Linked DNA regions of Kluyveromyces lactis. The protein of the gene in region 3 binds, or shares a complex with, the protein of the main gene of each other region. Links are inferred from orthologs where the notes say so. Each region holds a gene or a part of one and is shown on either strand. Other genes may lie near its edges.

What was found. Proteins that work in one complex are often made in the same cells at the same time.
Region 1: the proteins of TIM22 (region 3) and TIM9 are in contact, whole or in part, in a cryo-EM structure (PDB 6LO8), measured with the Saccharomyces cerevisiae proteins. The link is inferred for Kluyveromyces lactis from reciprocal best matches to the Saccharomyces cerevisiae genes TIM22 and TIM9. Residues at the interface, in NP_010064.1 of Saccharomyces cerevisiae: Glu196, Asp197, Arg199, Pro200, Pro201, Gln202, Asn203, Asp204, Phe205; in NP_010894.1 of Saccharomyces cerevisiae: Thr37, Asp38, Cys39, Asn41, Asp42, Phe43, Thr44, Lys51, Glu52, Cys55, Lys58.
Region 2: the proteins of TIM22 (region 3) and TIM18 are in contact, whole or in part, in a cryo-EM structure (PDB 6LO8), measured with the Saccharomyces cerevisiae proteins. The link is inferred for Kluyveromyces lactis from reciprocal best matches to the Saccharomyces cerevisiae genes TIM22 and TIM18. Residues at the interface, in NP_010064.1 of Saccharomyces cerevisiae: Ser145, Leu146, Arg147, Tyr168, Lys169, Ala170, Gly171, Pro172, Ala175; in NP_014940.4 of Saccharomyces cerevisiae: Ser76, Tyr77, Asp80, Tyr81, Ile84, Leu109, Tyr124, Tyr162, Glu165, Thr166.

The regions. Positions count from the first base shown.
Region 1 is NC_006041.1:2,034,906-2,037,010, reverse strand, and holds TIM9 (protein transporter TIM9), read right to left. Parts: upstream 895-2,105; coding exon 631-894; downstream 1-630. Other genes in the region: URA3 (orotidine-5'-phosphate decarboxylase), read right to left, coding at 1,213-2,016. UniProt on the Saccharomyces cerevisiae protein: Mitochondrial intermembrane chaperone that participates in the import and insertion of multi-pass transmembrane proteins into the mitochondrial inner membrane.
Region 2 is NC_006042.1:2,330,745-2,333,475, forward strand, and holds TIM18 (Tim18p), read left to right. Parts: upstream 1-1,519; coding exon 1,520-2,101; downstream 2,102-2,731. Other genes in the region: MUM3 (Mum3p), read right to left, coding at 45-1,061. UniProt on the Saccharomyces cerevisiae protein: Component of the TIM22 complex, a complex that mediates the import and insertion of multi-pass transmembrane proteins into the mitochondrial inner membrane.
Region 3 is NC_006040.1:726,657-729,327, forward strand, and holds TIM22 (translocation channel protein TIM22), read left to right. Parts: upstream 1-1,562; coding exon 1,563-2,153; downstream 2,154-2,671. Other genes in the region: COP9 signalosome catalytic subunit RRI1, read left to right, coding at 1-70; SWT21 (Swt21p), read right to left, coding at 54-1,289; KAR1 (Kar1p), read right to left, coding at 2,280-2,671. UniProt on the Saccharomyces cerevisiae protein: Essential core component of the TIM22 complex, a complex that mediates the import and insertion of multi-pass transmembrane proteins, such as mitochondrial carrier family members, into the mitochondrial inner membrane.

The sequences.
Region 1 (2,105 bases), on a different chromosome or scaffold from region 3:
ATAAGGTGGATGCTCGTTACTTTGAAGTGTTTTGAGAAGAGGTCATGTGATTTGAATGTTCTACTTGATCAGAGGAGTTGTTCTCCTCATTCCAGGTGGGAAATTCGGTGGAACGCAGCTGTCCGCTCGCCGAGGGTTCAAACCCCCGGTGAGTTATAATCAAGCAAATCCCTAACGGGATTTTCGCTTCGTGAGAAGGTTGTTTCTAATGGAACTTCAGCTTGAGCCCTATTGTCGTTGTTATAATAAATCAAGTCGCCAGTTCTTCTCTAATGGAGACCACGTGACATGGGAGGGACAACGGACGGACAGTTTAGCTTGTCATTTACGACAATGCCTAGTTGAGTGCAATGCAGGGAGTCTGCAACTTACGCAGATAACACAATACCGATTACCTTGTGTCTGAGGAGCATCTTTTTTTGGCCAGTCATATGGCAATGAAATGCAAACCTTTCTATATACAGAAACAGAATGAATATACATGGGAGAGATAGTCCTTAAAATCTATGGTAATCGTAGTAGCTACGATAAAATGTTATGATATAATGTTATAATATAATGTTATAATATAATGAAGTATGTACAGAATAAAATTTGAGGTTGGTAGGGAGAATTTCTTCTTTAAACCTTTTAACGACCCATGGTTTGATTCATGGCAGCATTTTGCTCTTGGAAACGTTGACCCACACGTTCACTGTGTTTCAAGAACTTTTCTGAACATCTCATTATACAGTTTTGTTCCTTAGAAGTAAGCTTAGCGGATGTGAAGTCGTTGACACAGTCGCTGAAACATCTTTCGACCAAGTTGGAGTATAGACGCATGAAATCCTTCATTTGCTTTTGTTCCACGATTTTTTGGAACTCTTGTTGTTCCTTACCATTAAGTTGATCCATTGTGTGCTTGCTTCTTTTCTTATCCGGGGTATATGATAATTAATCTTACCAATTGGATGACAAACAGTCTGGAGGAAGTTTGAGAGGGCTTATCGCAATGGTTGTAATGGTTTAAAACTCTTTTTCGATGATGTAGTTTCTGGTTTTTAAATCTCACATAATGAAAGAGAGAGAGAGAAGCAAACAAAAAATTTTCAGTTCAATACAACAGATCACGTGATCTTTTTGTAAGATGAAGTTGAAGTAGTGTTGCACCGTGCCAATGCAGGTGGCTATTAGATTAAATATGTGATTTGTTCTATTAAGTTTCCTGTATAATTAATGGGGAGCGCTGATTCTCTTTTGGTACGCTTCCCATCCAGCATTTCTGTATCTTTCACCTTCAACCTTAGGATCTCTACCCTTGGCGAAAAGTCCTCTGCCAACAATGATGATATCTGATCCACCACTTACAACTTCGTCGACGGTTCTGTACTGCTGACCCAATGCATCGCCTTTGTCGTCTAAACCTACACCTGGGGTCATGATTAGCCAATCAAACCCTTCTTCTCTTCCTCCCATATCGTTCTGAGCAATGAACCCAATAACGAAATCTTTATCACTCTTTGCAATATCAACGGTACCCTTAGTATATTCACCGTGTGCTAGAGAACCCTTGGAAGACAATTCAGCAAGCATCAATAATCCCCTTGGTTCTTTGGTGACCTCTTGCGCACCTTGTTTCAAGCCAGCAACAATACCAGCACCAGTAACCCCGTGGGCGTTGGTGATATCAGACCATTCTGCGATACGGTAAACGCCCGATGTATATTGTAATTTGACTGTGTTACCGATATCGGCGAATTTTCTGTCCTCAAATATCAAGAACTTGTATTTCTCTGCCAATGCTTTCAATGGAACGACAGTACCCTCATAACTGAAATCATCCAAGATATCAACGTGTGTTTTCAAAAGGCAAATGTATGGACCCAACGTTTCAACAAGTTTCAATAGCTCATCAGTCGAACGAACGTCAAGAGAAGCACACAAATTGGTCTTCTTTTCATCCATTAAACGTAAAAGTTTCGATGCAACCGGACTTGCATGAGTCTCAGCTCTACTGGTATATGATTTTGTGGACATGGTGCAACTAATTGACGGGAGTGTATTGACGCTGGCGTACTGGCTTTCACAAAATGGCCCAATCACAACCACATCTTAGATAGTTGAAA
Region 2 (2,731 bases), on a different chromosome or scaffold from region 3:
ATACCATCAACCCGGAATGTACACATACAATATTGTATCATTTTTTAGACTATCTCCACGTTCAATTCAAAGGTATCTATCAATTTATCCTTAGCACACCACTGGGTTTCTAGCCAACTTTCTAGTTGTTTGGGTTTCTTTTTAGTGAGTTTATCAACATCATGGTACGATGCGTGGATGCATAGTATCATTGGTGATTCCAACGACCATATGTCCCATAGAGCTGGAATTGTTTGCTCCAACTTATACTCACCCATTGAGTTCAACGTGATCTTGTAATAAACCAAAGTTAAATCTAGTAACTTCATTGAGTCACGTAATATCGGTTCTGTCGGAAGAATAAGGTACTCCAACATGCGACACCATTTTCTGTCATTGCTGTTTGAAAAAGCTTTGATCAGATTTACGAAAGTACCAAATCTGGGGTATAGAACGTTATGCAAAACAGGTAATCCTTTGTATTTCAATTTCATTAACTTTCTTTCAATCAATTTAACTTCTGGTGTGAAGATATTCACCTCGGGAAATATTACCAAATTCTCAGGCCCATAAAACTTCTTAATCTTTGATACCGAAACGTTGTCATTCTCATCATGCCTGAATATTGTCCAAAAATGCTTAAAACTGGGATACTTCATTAAACGAGTCCAACCTGCGAAAATTACATTTTCAGCTCCGAACTGGGATTGAATCAAAGTATAATCGATAATTGATCTATGGTTGCTTAGTATTAGTTGGTTCTTACATTTTGTGTTGATTGTTTCCCCCTCGTAAATAATTTGGATATCTTCTCTTAGCACACTCCATATAATGAATTCATTAATCCATATATTAACCATGGTTTGAATCTTCTCAGTTTTCATAATACCCCTGTAATAATACTTTGATGAAATGATTCTGGACCATTGATTCATATACCATATCCACCCTGCTAGCACTGACTGAAGTATGAAAAGTATAAACAAAAACCATGAATAGGCCACACATTTTATAAGATGCTTGTCTTGTATCGAAAACCATGGTCCCGTGACATTTGTTTGCAACGTACTCAGTACAGACATGGTTTACTAGTTCTTCATCCTAACAGAAAACGATTGTAATGGATCGTTTTCTAGCTAGTTAGGAACAGTTTCTGTGTTTATTCCACACTGACACAGACTTTTTAACCATTTTGTTTTGTCGCATGACAAACAGTTTCAAGTGAAAAATAGGAAAACGTAAACAGTACGACCATCGTTTAGTTTACATTAGAAAAACTTGTCACCGATACATTGTAATTAGAATGTAAATTTTACGATTGAATTAATTCATAGAGCCTCTAACAGAAACCACTACCGCTATAACTGCCTTTCTGGTTATTCTGCATCTTCTGTATTCTTTTCAGATCTCATCAATTTTGCTCCAATCTCATTATCGATGATGAAGTGAAAAATGAAATATTTTTTGACTAAGCTCATCTCATCACTTCGCATACATCGAAAAGTACCTGAAAAGTAAGGATGGCAGCCAAGACGACATAATGATTGCCAGATCAATGATAAACAAGCCACTTCCAGTCATGTTAAGAACTTCTTTGCTTCATCGTCAGTTGAGAGGTATCAGGCTACCAGCTGTTTTTAGTTCCAGTAAGTTTGCGAAGTACAAGTTAATCCCACCACCTCCAGGCGGAGTTACCGGAAACGTAAACGATAACTTACCAAAGACAGAACCGAATTGGTTCCATGGGTCGTATCACTGGGATTATGAACGTATCACTGCAGTGTCGTTAGTTCCTTTGACAATGGTTCCTTTGTATGGAGCTATGTCTTCTGCTACCTTTGCATCAGGTTTCCCCTTCCCAGTGATTGATTCTCTATTGGCCAGTACAATACTAATACATGCGTACTTAGGTATAACAAGTTGCATTATTGACTATATCCCTAAGAGAAAATTCGGATTCTGGCACAAGGCTGCTAAATTCGCTTTGGCACTTGGAAGCTCCTTCAGTCTTTACGGAATTTATGTTTTAGAAACGGAAAATAACGGACTAATAGATTTGGTCTCTACTCTTTGGGATAAAGATAAGGGGGATTCGAGAGCATATGTATTTGGAAGGTTTTAGTGTGGTACTCTGTCCAAGCAATATGTAATTCATCGGAGAATTGACCTCCAAGCAGATTAGACTCTCATTTATTTATTATCATTATTATTTATTAGTGCTACATCTAGTGTTATTTATTCTTACCATAGTCTTAATTTAGTCTTTGAGTCTGATGATTCAGCTGGTCCTTTTCCTCGCCAAAAGTTCAAACGGGGTAAAGCAATCTAACTTTGAATAGACCATTTTGGGTATTTTGCTGTTCGTTTTTTTGCCCATGATTACATGCGTTTAAAGTTGTTGATCCAATCTCATTGTAACTGCCTTTTTTGGCAATCACATAGATTACAGCCGGTTTGACACAATTTAATGAAATAAAATCCTGAATGCAAAAGACTTTGCATTCGTCTCTGCTGAAGAAAAACCGCCTCAAGTTGAGGAGATTACTAAATGTGCTTTGGGTTTGAAACTTATTGAGGTTTTTTTTTTTTCATTCCTTCATGAAACTTATTCATGTCAAGAGAACATACTTCAAAAGTGACTATATAAAGGCACCTCTCTGTGATACAAGGTGAGATTGAGAGACTCAATGTTGATTTGACATCCTTCAAATTTTTACGTCAAAGTACCCTTAATGTTTTGACAATAAGCATT
Region 3 (2,671 bases):
ACTCTTATTGAAGGTTAAGCAATATCAAAAGTTAAGGACCTACAGACAACTATTTAATGCATCCGAATAAGCTTCACAGATGTTTTTAATGTCATACCCTCATCATCTGCAAATTTATCAGTCGAGGTTGAAATAGCGAGGGTGTTTGGATCAACAGGATTCGTTGCAATGCAATTCACCCTTACATTCTCATCTGAAATAAGAATGTTATTCGTTGGCTTTATTCCAGTACCAGCGGTTTGAAGTGGGTCCAACCCACCAAATTCAATGCAATCTTTGTCCCAGCATGCAACCTGACCATCGTACGATCCAATTAACAAACCTTTGGCACTGTTCAAGGATGCCTTGAATTTCTGCTTACCAATTTTGAATGGAAGTTCCAGTATATTAATTCTAGATTTTAACATTCGTGTATCAATAACATCGATTTCTCTTGCATTACGTTTAATACAGTACAAATAATGTCCGTTATCCGACTTAATGACTTGGTAGATTCCATTTGACCACGAGTCCAATGAATCACGCTCACTTATTAGTTCAGATTTAGTACTTCTAGTATCAATTCGTAGCACTTCTGTTTTATAAGTACCAGCAAACCTGACATTGTCATGTACCTCGTTATATTCATCAAAGCATGATACGATAGCCTTCTGTGATGACTTCCCGCATGATTGTTTTGTCCACTGATGTTGCCATATCGGTTTATGTCGGTTGTAATCATACATAGTTATCCTGTTTCTAACAGATCCAGTCATGAAATGCATAGTGTCTTGAAGTATTGTCATTGAATAAGCCGTTTCAAAGGCTTCATTTTCTTCGTTAACAGTAGAGTAATGGTATAAACTTGTTTCATTGATGCTGTCCGATCGTAATGAGTACAATTTTATGGGCAGATCTCTTGAAGAACAAAGTATAGTTTGATATGCTGAATCCTCTTCATACAGTGAGTATCTAGGGTGGACGACAGAGGAAATAATGGAACCATTCACAAACCATCGTGTGAAAGGAACCCAATGATCTACAAGTGGATCTTCTGGTATAAGATACTGTCGTATTCCAAAATCATCAAAAACGCCGCAAATAGAAGTACCATCATGAGACCAAGTCAGCTGAGAACAAATCACAGGACAATACCGCTCAACGCTATGGAAATACGAACGATGCAGCTTTGGAAATTCGTAATTCTTTGCATATGCTGAAAATTTTCGAGATAATTCTTCTTCGAGAGACCATAATGAATTACAATTTGTCCCATAGTAGCAGTCTAATGTGCTGGCTATCGTTTGCATTATCAAAAGGTCTCATATTCCGCATACAGTTGCTTAAAATGCTGCCTTCTGTGCATGCGATGAGGCATTCTGTCAATATTGACATATTGACAGAGTTGAAGCTTATTCTTATCGAAAGAAAAAAAGCTTTGGAATAGCTAATATCAAAAGCTCATCGAAAATAATATTGAAATAAATATATACATCGTTGAACAGAGTAGTAAAAGGACACCGTGAAGTATTGGATAGTTGTGGAAGATTAGCTACTGTTGAAGTAAGAAACGTTAAAATAAAATGGTGTATCGTGGGTTTGGTTTAGACCAAGTTTCTCCACCAGAGAATAAACCATTTGATCAACTTTCGCCTGAAGAACAAGGTGAAAAAGGTGCCCAAATGATGGTGGAGTTTATGACTTCTTGTCCTGGAAAAGCTGCCATCAGTGGTGTTACTGGTTTTGCATTAGGTGGTGTTTTCGGTTTATTTATGGCATCGATGGCGTATGACACACCTCTACATACGCCAGCTCCAACCAATGCTCCAGGTTTACCAAATAAAGTGAAAGAGCTTGCAGATCTACCGTTGAAACAGCAGATAAAGATCCAGTTTAGTGATATGGGAAAAAGATCCTACTCCAGTGCAAAGAATTTCGGTTACATCGGTATGATTTATTCAGGTGTCGAATGTGTGGTGGAATCGTTAAGGGCAAAGAACGATATATATAACGGTGTAGCTGCAGGTTGTTTGACAGGCGGTGGCTTGGCATACAAGAGTGGACCTCAGGCAGCATTAGTGGGTTGTGCGGGTTTTGCTGCCTTCTCTACGGCCATTGATTTATACATGAGAAACGAGAATAAGAAACCACCCAAGGATGACTTCGATGAATGATCAGTTTATATTTTTGAAACTCTAAGCATTAAGCGTCCGTTCTTTGTACATTAGATAGACTCCAGGTCATGATATCTATGAACTTTACATGTAAATACGTGCATTTATATATCAATTCAGTCTTTATCATAGGTAATGATACACCCATACATTGCAAAGTACGAGAATAATGATACAACTTAACCATATCACTGGTTCATAGGTCATTGATTTGCCAATTAAAGTTTCTTTGTCCTGCAAAATATCGATCAACCGATCTAGCTTGGCACTAGTGTCCTTCAATTGGGATTCCAATGTAGTTATTTCACTAGATTGAAACACTTTGCGGGAAATTTTTCTTTGACTTTCAAAAGACGGTGCTTCTAATACCCTCTTGGCCTTATTCACAGGCTCTGCTTTAGTCTGTCGTACCTTTGCGTTCGATATTATAGTATTCCATCTGGATTCGAGGTCACGACCAACTTCCATTTTTTGCTGAGGGTCAAGATAAGGTAAGGGCAATGGATCACCAAGCTTCT